3 linked regions of the Sus scrofa genome follow. The protein of the gene in region 1 interacts with the protein of each later gene in a biochemical or structural test. Links are inferred from orthologs where the notes say so. Each region holds a gene or a part of one and is shown in the gene's direction. Other genes may lie near its edges.

What was found.
Region 2: the proteins of MDC1 (region 1) and CDC27 form a complex in vitro, tested with the Homo sapiens proteins (2 studies listed by BioGRID). The link is inferred for Sus scrofa from reciprocal best matches to the Homo sapiens genes MDC1 and CDC27.
Region 3: the proteins of MDC1 (region 1) and ATM form a complex in vitro, tested with the Homo sapiens proteins (2 studies listed by BioGRID, with this or other methods). The link is inferred for Sus scrofa from reciprocal best matches to the Homo sapiens genes MDC1 and ATM.

What each region holds. Positions count from the first base shown.
Region 1 is NC_010449.5:23,239,199-23,243,299, reverse strand, and holds part of MDC1 (mediator of DNA damage checkpoint protein 1), read left to right. Parts: intron 1-879; exon of another isoform or gene 880-919; coding exon 920-1,300; intron 1,301-1,379; coding exon 1,380-1,446; intron 1,447-2,398; coding exon 2,399-3,855; intron 3,856-4,101. UniProt on the Homo sapiens protein: Histone reader protein required for checkpoint-mediated cell cycle arrest in response to DNA damage within both the S phase and G2/M phases of the cell cycle.
Region 2 is NC_010454.4:16,809,337-16,813,885, forward strand, and holds the start of CDC27 (cell division cycle protein 27 homolog), read left to right. Parts: upstream 1-1,531; 5' UTR 1,532-1,614; coding exon of another isoform or gene 1,615-1,693; coding exon 1,694-1,720; intron 1,721-4,549. UniProt on the Homo sapiens protein: Component of the anaphase promoting complex/cyclosome (APC/C), a cell cycle-regulated E3 ubiquitin ligase that controls progression through mitosis and the G1 phase of the cell cycle.
Region 3 is NC_010451.4:36,619,025-36,623,781, forward strand, and holds the start of ATM (serine-protein kinase ATM), read left to right. Parts: upstream 1-1,739; 5' UTR 1,740-1,881; intron 1,882-2,140; 5' UTR 2,141-2,860; intron 2,861-4,757. Other genes in the region: protein NPAT, read right to left, coding at 1,251-1,287.

The sequences.
Region 1 (4,101 bases):
CAAGCTTCTATATGTGTCAAGATCTGAAAAAATGTTTTACTGGGAATGGAGAAGGAAGGATTGATTGAATTGATTGCTCTCGGCAAGTGCCCTGGACTCCATGGGGGTGATTTTACTTTGGTGGGAGAAGATAAAGGGGTTTAAGTGAAAACCCGGTGAGTCTTGAAATGGATAGTGACGAGGTTTTGCACAACAGTGTGAATATACTTAATGTCACTAAACTGTACACTTAAAAATGGCTAAATGGCAAATTTTATGTATATTTTACCACAATAAAAAATAAGCCAGGAGGAGTTCCCATTGTGGTGCAGTGGTTAACGAATCCGACTAGGAACCATGAGGTTGCGGGTTCGATCCCTGCCCTTGCTCAGTGGATTAGGGTTCCGATGTTGCTGTGAGCTGTGGTGTAGGTCCAGACACCGCTTGGGTTCTGCATGGCTGTGGCCGGCAGCTGTAGTTCCGATTTGACCCCTAGCTTGGGAACCTCCATATGCCGTGGGTGCGATCCTTAAAAAAAAAAAAAAAAAGATCCTGACTGTCGTGGTTTGGCGTCACTGCAGAGAGGCGGGTTTGATCACTGGCCATGGCACATTAGGTTAAAGGATCCAGCATTGCCACACCAGTGGCATAGGTTGCAGCTGCGGCTGGAATTCAGTCCCTGGCCCGGGAACTTCCATATACCCCAGATGCGGCCATTAAAGAAAAAGGAAAAAAAAAAAAAATCAGTATAGATGGATGAGGTGTTGAGTACAAATAAGGCATTGCATGTATTCCTTATTACCTAATTATCTTAGGTATCTTTTGTTTTCCTAATGTACTTGGGGGCCTTGAGTGAGCAGTGGGGGACTTAACAGGAACGTTTTCCTAATAGCAGGTCAGGGCTCTGGCCTTGGAACCTCTCTACCTCTCTGATTCTTAGATTTCCCACTCTACCTTGGGAAGAACGTGGTGGGCCGAATGCCCGAGTGCTCTGTGGCCCTGCCTTTTTCATCCATCTCCAAACAACATGCAGTGATTGAAATCTTGGCCTGGAACAAGGCGCCTGTCCTCCGCGACTGTGGGAGCCTCAATGGCACTCAGATCCTGAGGCCTCCCAAGGTCCTGGGCCCTGGGGTGAGTCATCGTTTGAGGAACCGGGAGTTGATTCTCTTTGCTGACTTGCCCTGCCAGTACCATCGCTTGGATGTCCCCCCGCCCTTGGTCTCTCGGGGCCCTCTAACTGTAGAGGAGACACCCAGGGGACAGGGAGGAACTCAACCGCACAGGCTTCTGTTGGCTGAGGACTCAGAGGAGGAAGTAGGTAAGTCCGAGTATTGGGAGGGCAGGTGAGGAGATGGGGACGGTGGCTGTAAAATCATCAACCTTTTTACTCCTGACAGATTCTCTTTCTGAAAGGTGTGTGGTGAAAGGACCAAAGACTTCTTTGACAACAGTGATTCCAGAGAGGTGAGTGCCAGAGGCCAGACAACTGAGTCCTCAAAAGGAGGAGGAACAGGAGTTCCCACTGTGGCTCAGTGGAAACGAACCCAACTAGGATCCATGAGGATGCTGGTTCAATCCCTGGCCTCACTCACTGAGTTAAGGATCTGGCGTTGCCATAAGATGTGGTGTAGGTGGCAGATGCAGCTTGAATCCACGTGGCTGTGGCGTAGGCAGCAGCTGCAGCTCTGATTCAACTCCTAGGCTAGGAATTTCCACATGTTGCACCTGCAGCCCTTTAAAAAAAAACGGTGGAACCAAGGGCTGGAGGATCCAAGAGAGCTCATGGAGGTCAGGGCTGGGAAACTCCTCATATTCTTTCATTCAACTTAGTTTTATTTGTTTCTTTTTAGGGTTGCACCTGTGGCATATGGAGCAATGCTGGATCCAAGCCACGTCTGCAACCTATACCACAGCTCACAGAAACCCTGGATCCTTAACCTACTGATCAAGGGCGGGGATCAAAACCACATCCTCATGAATACTAGTTGGATTCTTAACCTGCTGAGCCATAGAAGGAACTTCTCACTCAACTGAATTTTTATTGATCACCTCTGATGTGCCAAGTGGAAAACGAATGGCTGGAGATAGAAAAGCAAATACTGGAATTCCCATTGTGGCTCAGCAGGTTAAGAACCTGACACAGTGTCCATGAGGATGTGGGTTCAATCCATGGTCTCTCTCAATGGGTTAAGGATCCAGCATTGCTGTGGCTATAATATAGGCTGGCAGCTCCAGCTCCAATTCAACCCTTAGTCCAGGAACTTCCATATGCTACAGGTATGACCTGAAAAAAAAGAAAAAGAAACGAAAAGCAAATACTACCTCATGTCTGCTCTCGAGGAGCTCCCAGTTGAGTGGGGTTTCCCTTCTGGAGAAATAGATTCTGTAGACTCTCTCTCTTCTCCTCCCTTCACAGTGATGAAGAGGGGCCTTCCCCCGCCCCAGATGGCCCTGGACCACCTTTTGCCTTCAACTTGAACAGTGACACGGATGAGGAAGAAAGTCAGCAACCAGGAGCAGGAGAGGCTCCCTCAGCTGCAGAGACAGAACAGCCTAAACCTGTCACAACCGAAATCCAGCTCATAAAGGACCAGTGTCCAGTGAAGGAGAAGCACAAGGACGCAAGAGTTAAGAGGGCTGCCAGCAATGGGGTGGTTCCAGTTGGGGCGATTCTGGAGAGGAGCCAGCCTGCTGGGGAGGACAGTGACACAGATGTGGATGAGGGGAGTGGGCTTCCACGGAGGCCAGCTGGAGCCCATTCAGAAAGGGCCCAGCCTTGTGGCTTCATAGACAGTGATACTGATGCGGAAGAAGAGGGGATCCCCGCCACCCCAGCAGTAGTTCCCGTGAAGAAGAGGCAGATCTTCCATGAAGTTGGGACAGAGAGCCCCCAGGCACCTGGCGTGGCACATGCACAGGAGAGCCCGGCTGGTAGTGATACAGATATAGAGGAGGGAGAGGCCCCCCGGACGGTCCCTCTGGACAGCAGCCGAGCCTCCATGATGATCGACAGCAACATGGATGACGAGGAAGAAGTCTCAGCGGCGCTCACTCTGGCACGTCTGAGAGAGAGCCAGGCTGTTCCATGGAACAGAGATGCAGGTGCAGGAGACCACAGGGCCCAACCTGTGGCCCTTCTGGATCAAAGCCAGGCCTCTGCTGGGAGAGACAGTGACACAGACATGGAAGAAGAGGGGCTCCCCCTAGAAAAGAGAGGAAGTCTCCCCAAGGGTCCTGCAGACAAGGCCCATCCAGAAAAGAGCCAGCCTCCTCTCAGGGGCAGTGACGTGAAGGTGGAGGAAGATGAGCGCTCACCTGGAGTCCACCCAGGGAGAAGCCAAGCCTCTGCCACTGTGGACGCCATCACCCAAGTGGAGGAGAAAGCCCCACCAAGGCCAGCTGTTACACTTTCAGAGAAGCATCAGGTGCCTGTGGCATGGACACCTCAAACAGATGTGGAGGCAGAAGGCGACCCAGCAAAGCTGCCTGTGGTGCATCCAGCGGAAGCCCGCCCTCCTCCAGCTGGGGGCCATGAACCAGATGTGGAAAAGAACACGTCCTTAGCAGCCTCAGCTGGGGCAGACGTCAGAAAGAGCCAGCTTCTGGCAGAAGGGGATGCTGGGACGGAGTGGGCTGTAGCCATTCTTGAACAGGACCGAGCTCTTGGGGCCGGGGCCCAGAGTGTGTCAGCCAGGGCACAGGTGGGGCAGGACCTTCCCCTTGTCTCAAGAGAGCACCTAGCAGATGTGGCGGTGGACACAGGCGCTCCAGGGGAAGCCACCCAGACACAGAGAGAGGGAACCCAGGCCCTCACAGAGAGGGAGAGAGAACTAAACGTGGACAGGACCATAGACTCTGGAGACAACCGTGACGGTCAGTACTGGCTTCCCTTCCTCCCTTGACCCCTAAAAAGTGCTTAGAGGGCACCTTCATCCGTTGAGCTGCTATAACAAAATACTCTGGACCAGGTGGCTTATAGACAACAGTGTATTTCTTTGATTTTTTTTTAATTTTTTATTTTTTTTTGCCATTTCTTGGACCACTTCTGCGGCATATGGAGGTTCCCAGGCTAGGGGTTGAATTGGAGCTACATCTGCCAGCCTACACCACAGCCACAGC
Region 2 (4,549 bases), on another chromosome or scaffold:
CTAGCATCCATGAGGACTTGGGTTTGATCCCTGGCCTTGCTCAGTGGGTTAAGAATCCAGTATTGCCGTGAGCTGTGGTGTGGGTCACAGATCCCAAGTTGCTGTGGCTGTATCGTAGGCCTGCGGTTACAGCTCTGATGAGACCCCTAGCCTCAGAACCTCCATATGTTGCAGATGTGGCCAGCCCTAAAAAGCAAACAATCAAACACACAATAAAACCCAAATGTTTTCCTTAACCTTAAGGTTACCAAAGAGGGAAGGGAGAGAGAGGGAGAAATTAGGAGTATGGGATTAATAGCTACAAACTACTCTACACAAAATAGATAAGCAACAAGGATTTACTGTATAGCACAGGGAACTATATTTGATATTTTGTAATAAACTATAATGGCAAACAATCTGTAAATATATCTGCATCACTTTGCTGTTCACCTGAAACATAATATTGTAAATCAACTATACTTGAATTTAAAAATATTGCAAAGACTTTTTCTTATCTACCAAAAAATAAAGTTTTGATAGTTCCCTGTTCACACATTCTGGGGGGAAAGGGAGCAGGAAGTAAATTTGAGAACCTCTTAGAGTTTGTTAGACACAGTCACATACTTTAATGCATTTAGTTCTCTTAATTGCTTTTTTTTTTCAGACTAAGGCAACAGAAGTTCAGGGAGGTTGTGACTTGCTTAAGGACCTAATACAATTTAGTGCCAGAGATAAAATTCAAAACTAAGCCTCTGAATTTCCCAATACACCACAATGCCTCTATCAAGAATAAAAAACTCTTCCCTCCTGAGATTTTTCCATGATCTGGCCACCTAAATAATCATTTCCAGTTAACGTACCAGATCTCATTCTACTTCCTTCTATTTTCTCCTTTCTTCTAATTCTACCCATCCTTCGAAACCAGTCTGAAACTTCCTCATCTCAATCCTAATTAATTTCCCTTTCCTCTCTTCTGAATGCTCACATCACCATATAATGTACTATTCTTTGTTACATTAGTTTTCCGTTAAATAGACAATAATCTCTTTGAGGACCGGGGTCCTACAAAATCTTCGGGGGTGGCAATCCTTCCAATTTCCTATTTTCCTTTTGAGCCTTGAATAGATAGTTCTGGAATGAATGAATGACCTAAACTCAAAATACAGATAATTCTTGTTTAACTAAAGTCAACCCCAAACTCTTGGGTTTAACCCTTTGCTTAATCTGCAGCGCACCAATTAATCCAGCAAGGTTGAGCGGAGAAGCAAGGCGGCCACCGGGTCACGTAACGATCCCAGCTGACTCCTGCAGCCATGCCCAGCCTACTGGTTGCGGATTGGGCGTGCCCTAGGGTGGCCCATGGGGGGCGTGGCGTGCGTGAGTGAAGGCATGGCGTAGAAGTGGAACCTACGCACTGGGTTACACTCGGTAATCTCCGGTAATCCTCGACAATTTCCGGCAACGGTCTCCTCCTCCGTCGATACACCTCGGGTATTTCCGGTTTCCTTCGGTCATTTCCGTCTGGCTCCCGCCCCGGTCTCTCCACTTCGGGTTTTTCCGTGTCCCTTTCGGAAGTACTCGGCAATCGCTCGGCCTCCCCCATCCCCCGGTAACGGTCGCTGGTGAGTTTAAATGAGCCGGGGCTGGCCGGGCCGGAGCCGCTACGGGGGGGGGCCTGAGGCACTGCAGAAAGTGGGCCTGAGCCTCAAGGATGACGGTGCTGCAGGAACCCGTCCAGGTAATGGTAACCCCCTTCGCTGAGGCTTGGCTCGCAGCCTTGGTCTGGAAGCAGCGTATGGCCACTTCGCGGCCTGGTGCGGCCTAGGCCCGGCTGCTTCTCCCGCCTCCCCTCTCGCCGGCTTCTGCCTGTCTTCTCGTCAGTTCCGAAGCCTTGCCCGCAACCTAAGCCGTGTTACCTCTGGCCCTACATTACTTCTTCCCCCAGCAGGAGCGGGGTTCGTTGATAAGACCCCCTTTCCCTTCCAGGCCAACGTCGAGCGAACCCCTTCTGTCAGTCTGGGGGCCGGGCCCGGGACGGGTTTGGGATGAGGGGGCGGAAAACTAGCCCCAGGTGCTCTCTTGCCTGAAGATGATTGGGAAGCATATTTGATCAGCGTTTGCAGGATCTTCATAATGGTGGGGCAAGTTTGCGGGGAGAGTGTTGTTTTTGATTTTGTTTTTGTTTTTTTGTGAGTAGGTGGAGGGAGGGTAGGATCGGTGTTTTTAATACTAATTTCTATTTCGGTGACAGACTTTGTAACCCACGTTGCTTTTCTCGCCCAGTAAACTTCCTTCTGGACAATGATTTCCGTCGAGAACTCCAAGGCCCGGTGCTGAGATGCAAGCACCTATTAAAGGGGAGAGGGTGGAAACGGCAAGTTGGGTTTTTTCCATGACCTATGATGGGAATCAGGAGTGTTTTATTGTACGTGTTTATAAGGCGTTCAGGAAATGAAAGGCAGATAATGATTTTTCCGTCCGTACCACACCAAGGTATGTTTTGATGCAAAGTGCTCCATTGGCTTGGAAGGAACCCTATTGGATTTTAAGTGTGTGATGATGCAGTGCCAAGTCATTCCCCCCCCCCCCAAGACATCTGAAGAAACTGAATCTTTTGTCCCTTGGTGATGGACCAGGTCTGGGAGACTTTATGCCTACCCTATGATCTTTGAATTGATTAAAAGAGTTGACCTTTATCAACTACTGTCTTTGAGTCAGGGACTTTCTTTATTTTGAAGTTAAAAAAAGAAACCAATTTTAGAAGTTCTTTCATATTGCCCTTAATAGGCCTATTCACTACTTACTATTGGTATCACATAGTAAAAAATTTAATACATCACTCCTTCCATATTTCCTTAATTTTTCTTCACAGGATGAAATACTATTTTCTCCTAGTTGGCTCTTTCTCTAGCTCTTTTCTGTATAGCAACTATTAGTTTTTTAGTTAATATAATGTGAGATTCTATCCTGGAAGTTTACCTGTTTTTACATTATACTGGTGCTTTCAAAGCTATTTCCTTCCATCACTTTTCTCTTACTAGTAAAGAGTCCCTTTTTAAGATTTTTTTTTTGAAGCCTAACATGAAATTGGAAGTTACTGTCTGTACCTTTTTAAATGGATAAGCAAATCACTTAAATCGTTTAATTTCTGCTTCAGATTTTTGTAATTTCAATAATTAATGATATATTTTCCTTCTCTGGTCCCCAAACCCTTCTAAAATGATAAACTAGTTTTATTACTAACCTATAACAACTATTTATTAACAATTTAAACTTACATAAAAACATAAAGAAAATATGTAGCCAATTCCTTGATAGTACCAATCGAGTTTCCTCTTTTTCTTTAAAGTACTCTTAACTCTAAAGCATTTAGGGTATTTTTAAGGCTTAAAAGTCAGATTTGTCTTGGAGTTCCCATCCTGGCTCAGCAGTTAGCAAACCCAGCTAGCATCCATGAGGACACGGGTTCAATACCTGGCCTTGCTCAGTGGGTTTAGGATCCAGCATTGCTATGAGCTGTGGTGTAGGTCGCAGACGTGGCTTGGATCCCACATTGCTGTGGCTGTGACATAGGCAGGCAGTTGCAGCTCCAATTGGACCCCTAACCTGGGAACCTCCATATGCCGTGGGGGCAGCCCTAAAAAGACAAAAAGACCCCCCCCCCAAAAAAGGTCAAATTGGTCTTTTTTTTTTTCCTATACTACCTTTATTAGATTTGGGCACAGTGGTAAGATGAGTGAAGATAGAGCTAGGTGAGAATTTTGGTTATAATTTTTACTATGAGAAGAAGCCATTCAAGAAGGGATCTGGAGCAATAGGATCTTTGGCTACAATGATAAAAATCAACTGATAGGAATAGTGCTGAAAATGGGAAGGAATTATTAAAAAAGAGAATAAAAATAGAACAGCTACATAAGATACTTTTTTTAAAACTCTAGTAAGTGATTGCATGTATTTGTGAAGGAATGAAAGAAGGTATTTCCTTTCTAGGGATGTCTCTGCTCAAGGTATTACTAGGCCTCCTTGGAAAAAGTTGAGAGAAAAGATGAGCAACTGTTTTTTGCTTTTTCTTTTTTAAAGTTTTAGCATGGAGTAGCCAGTTTGATTTAAACCGTATAAGCCTAAATACAATTCTCTCTCTTAGAAAAGTGTTACTTTATATTTGAGTCTTTACAAAAATCTCTATTATGAGGCAGAAATTTTTGTCAGTTATTTTTAAAGTAACTGGGAGATAAATTAGCCTAAGTGACTTGAATCAGTGTTAATTTGGATCTTAATAAAATTCATCTGATGAAATTTATTTATTTATTTATTTATTTATTTATTTTTTGTCTTTTTGCTATTTCTTTGGGCTGCTCCTGCGGCATATGGAGGTTCCCAGGCTAGGGGTCGAATCGGAGCTGTAGCTGCTAGCCTACGCCGGAGCCACAGCAACGTGGGATCCGAGCCGCGTCTGCAACCTACACCACAGCTCACGGCCGGATCGTTAACCCACTGAGCAAGGGCAGGGACCGAACCCGCAACCTCATGGTTCCTAGTTAGATTCGTTAACCACTGCGCCACGACG
Region 3 (4,757 bases), on another chromosome or scaffold:
GTTACTGAAACTCAACTGGATTACCAAACCCCCAAAACTCAAAAAATCCTTAAGCAAACAATTTGTATAGAGTGAAAAATAAAGTATGTCAATGTTATTATGAATTTGTGCAAGTCTACTTTGGATCTGTTTGCACATAATTACAAGAGAAATGGCTTTTTCTCTAAGATATAGAAGTTAACTGTTGATATTTAGTTCTGATAAACTCGGCAAAGTATTAATCAAACATTAACAAAATACTAGTATAAGTCACTATTTTCTCCAAAAACAGATTACCCTCTAATGTTTTCTGTAAAATGTACTTATCAGAAACCTGTGCACGAAAGCCACTGGAGGGGAGGGGCAGGGCTGAGTTCTTTAAAAAGTAGCAAGAAATGGGATTTTGTGACAATAAAGTAATGGCTGTAGATTCCATGGGAAGTTTCATTACAGATGTTTACCATTTACATACGATGCCTGTAAATCACTGGCTCGAGTTTTAAGCTTTATGTGGCTTTCATTCCTAGCAGTACAATCCTCTATTCTTTCAGACGACAAATAACAAAACCCGTTTCCCATACAATGTACCCTGACAACTGGCCGTGGAACTAAACTGTTTTCAAAATGAGGAAAAACTAACTAGGACTAGAAATGTTCAAATGGAAGGCATTTCCCCTGTGAAAATTCTTGTTAATTAAAAGAACCCGAGCTGCTGCCGTCAGAAAGTATGCAATTAGCGTTTCAAACCTCTACACTGGACGACTTCTTGCGGAGGGACGGGATAAGGAAGGAAGATCACCCATTCGTCCCAAATTCGCAGTTCTAAGGGCGAGTTACGAGAAGGGCGTCAGGAATGTCTTTCTACAAAGCTGGGGGGAGGGGGCTGGGGGAAGTCCCTCTCTTTCCTACTTTGGTCCCAATTCTGACAAAGTGCAGTGTGCCAAGGTGAAGCCGTCGGTGCATCACGTAGCAGCTTCCCGGCAGGGTCCTAATTAAGTGTAGGCCTGACTTTCCCTCCAATCCCGGCTTCAGGTGTTCCACTCCGGGCTTCCTTCAGCCTCTCCTCATCACGCAACCTCGAAGGAGAGGAGTGTCCACACACAAAGCCCGAACCGCCCGAGCCCCCGGCTGAAGAACCACCGCCAGCCTGAACTCGGAGACGGGGAGGCAAAGCCCCAGAGCTTCCCTCCCTGGGGAAACCTTTGGCCCCGAGGGTCCTTCCGTCCAGCTCAGCCCGGTCCGGTCTCCCTCTCTACCGCGTCAACGCTTACCCAATACCAGCCGGGCTACGTCCGAGGGTAGCAGCATGATCCAAGCCGCAGGAGTACCCGCAGTGAGAGACGAGACTCAGGTAAAAGCCAACAGCGACGGCTCCTGCGCCGCATCTCCCGGTCCCGGTGGCGGCACTGAACCCCGCTGCAATTTGTCCCGCCTCTTTTGCTCCACGCCAGCCAATCGCTTCCGCGGGAGAAAGAAAGGCGCCGAAATGAAACCCGCCTCCGTTCTCCCTGGCACTGACGTCATTTCCGTGCTCACGTTTGGCGGGTGGGGTCAAGGGGGCGAGGAGGCGGGGCGCGAGCGTTGGAGACCAAGCCGCAGGGAGAGCGTGGCTGCAGGGTCGCATGCCATTGGCAGACAGTGCGCAGGCGCGTTCCCTTCCGAGCCCGGTGTTTTGGGAGAGTGTTTGGTGTCCGGCGCGCGTGGGCGGACCGTACCCGAACGCTCCGCACCTCTACCGCTTCCGCCCGGGACGCACGCTGCGTGGCCACGCTGAGTTTGGTCGGAAGCGGGATCAGTGCGTGGACAGGTGGCTCGGGCTGCTGCTGGGAGTGGAGCGGGGATTTGGTCTGCGGCTACGCCGCCACCAGGGATTCCACTTGGTTGTCCAGTCCAGCCGTCTTGGTGCGTAAGCCGTGTAGTGGCGTCTGCGTTGGGGAATTAAGATGCCTCCGGGCCGCTCTGTCCCAGCCCCCATATGCGCCCCTTTACTCCTCTCCCCACCTCATCTTGACGGGACTCTGGTACTCATTGCTTTCTCCAGCTCTCTTTTCGTGCCTCTGGTGGACTTAGCCTTGAACCTTCCTGTGCGTCCCCTGCCTCTGTGCCCAGAAATTAACTAGATGGCTTAACTAATCATCTTTTTCTCCCCTGTCATAATTAGTAGTTTAAGTCAACGAGTGATTCGTTGAGGCTTAAACTGAAGTTTCGTGGTTAAGAGCTTGGGCTCTGGAATCACACTCCCGGAGTTGGGGTTCTGTCAGCTGGCTGTGTGATCTCGCTGTACCATCTATCTCGTCATCATCCTATCCTGTGTCACCACTCAAGAGTGTTTGCTGTTTTTTACCAGGTACAGAGAAGTAAAAAGACTGTTACAATTCAGAGTGATAATGTGATAGAAGAACATTGTGATGGAAGAGGAGTGAATGAAGTTCTGTGGAAACGGCCTGGGAGAATCAGTTTCAGTTTGCAGTGAGATTTCAGTGTTAAACTGCCCTGGAGGGAGGTGGGAGCCTTACAGACAGAAGGGTAAATGCATATGAAGGCATAACGTGTGGAAGGTTCCTGAAGCTCTAGGGAGAGCCTCACAGAGAACATTACCCGATATTCTGTGGTAATCTATGTTGGAAAAGAAATGGAAAGAGAATGGATGTGTGTACATGTATAACTGAATCACTTTGCAGTACAGCAGAAGTTACCACAACATGTGAATCAACTGTCCTTCCATAAAACTTTAAAAAATGGAAAAAAAGGAGAAGAGAGAGGTCCTGCATGTAATGAAGTACATTTGGGCATTTTCAACATGTTGAACATATGCTCTTACTGGGATATGGTCTTAACTGGGAGAAAATTGAGAAGCAAGGAGACAAGGATATTCTTTCAGGTGTGGGTGGAAAAAGAACCATTAAAAGAGATGCGAAACAGAAAAGAAGGGAATAATGATAATTGCTGATATTTATTGAGCATTTGCTATGTCCCAGGCAGTGTGTTAAACATGTACATCAATCTTTAAAGTAACTTTGAAGTTCTAGTTCAATTCTAATGTGGTTTTTCATTTTATCATTGAGAAAACTGAGGTTTAGAGAGATTAGCTAGTTGGAGTTCCTGTCGTGGCACAGCGGAAATGAATCAGGCTAGGAACCATGGAGTTGTGGATTTGATCCCTGGCCTTGCTCAGTGAGTTAAGGATCCAGCATTGCTGTGGGCTGTGGTGTAGGTTGCAGATGCAGCTTGGATCCTGCATTGCTGTGGCTCTGGCCTAGGCTGGCAGCAATAGCTCCTATTAGACCCCTAGCCTGGGAACCTCCATATGCCGTGGATGTGGCCCTAAAAAGACAAAAAAAAAAAAAAAAGAGAGAGAGATTAGCTAACTGCCCAAGTTACATAGTTTGTAAGTGCAGGACCAGGGTATGAACTAGTGCAGTCTGACTACAAAGCCCACACTCTTAGCATTAGAAAAAAATGGCATGGTGGTCTTTTGTGCTGCAGCGGGTTAAGGATCTGGCATTGTCACTGCAGTGGCTGTATTGCCACTGTGGCTTAGGTTTGATCTCTGGCCTGGGAACTTCCACATGCCACAGGCACGGCTCCCCAAAAAAAGATGGCGTGCTAAGGGCAGAATTAGATCCAGAAAGATATGGTATAAGCATCATTGTCAAATTCTGCAAAGGGATCATTTTGGTTGAGATCTGAAAAGGAACAATGGATTTGCCAATTCAGAGGGTGTTACTTAGGAAATATGTGTTATACCACTTGCATCTTGGAAGTGGAGCCTAGATGTATTAATTGGATTAATGTATTAATTGAATTCAATTTTACCTGATGATACTCTTACTCTAGCTAACTACTGTCTTACTCTAGCTAACTACTGTCTTGTTCCTTTAGTTGTCTTTCATTTCCTCCAACATTGCAGTTTTCCATTTTAGAGCTCGCTGGCTGTGTTTCTCCTCTAAGATGTTGGTTCTCTCGCTCTTTCTGTGCCTGGCACCAGTTTATTCAGATCTTTTAACCCCCTGTAATATGTGTTCCTTAATAGGTTATAAAAAATGATCCTCTACATTGGTATTTTATTTCATTTGTCTTTTCAGGGCCTCATCTGTGGCATATGGAAGTTCCCAGACTAGGGGTTGAATCAGAGCTGCAGCTGCTGGCCTACACCACAGCCACAGCAATGGGGCATCCAAGTCGTGTCTGTGACCCACTCCACAGTTCATGGCAATGCTGAATTATTAACCCACTGATCAATGCCAGAGATCGAACCCACATCCTCATGGATACTGGTTGGGTTCATTACCACTAAGTCACAGTGGGAACTTTGCTATCCATTGATATTATATATTTTCTTCCTATGAGACATATATCACAATTTGGCATTAGGCATTGATTTATAAGTGCACTTTTTATTGTCACTCTCTCCCACTAATTATAACTCCAGGAGAGTAGGGTTTGTGTCTATTTAGTTCATTATATGTCTAGCTACCTCTAACACAGTACTTGGAACACCGTAGTTTCCCAGTAAAAGTCGTTGTGTGTATCAGTTAATGAACATCTCTTGTTTATATAGATAATACTCAGCTCTTCTGTTTTCTTGAAAGTAATCAATCTGAGATGTGAATGGGGGGAAAGTTCAGAGACTCCACAGCTTAAAGAAAAAAGTTTAGGGCTACCACTTCTTGGAATTGCAACATGTTTCAAAAACATGCATTATTTTCAATTACAATTAGCATATTTAGGAGTAAAAGTGCTTGCATTTATCATTCTTTGGCTATTGCTAAGATATT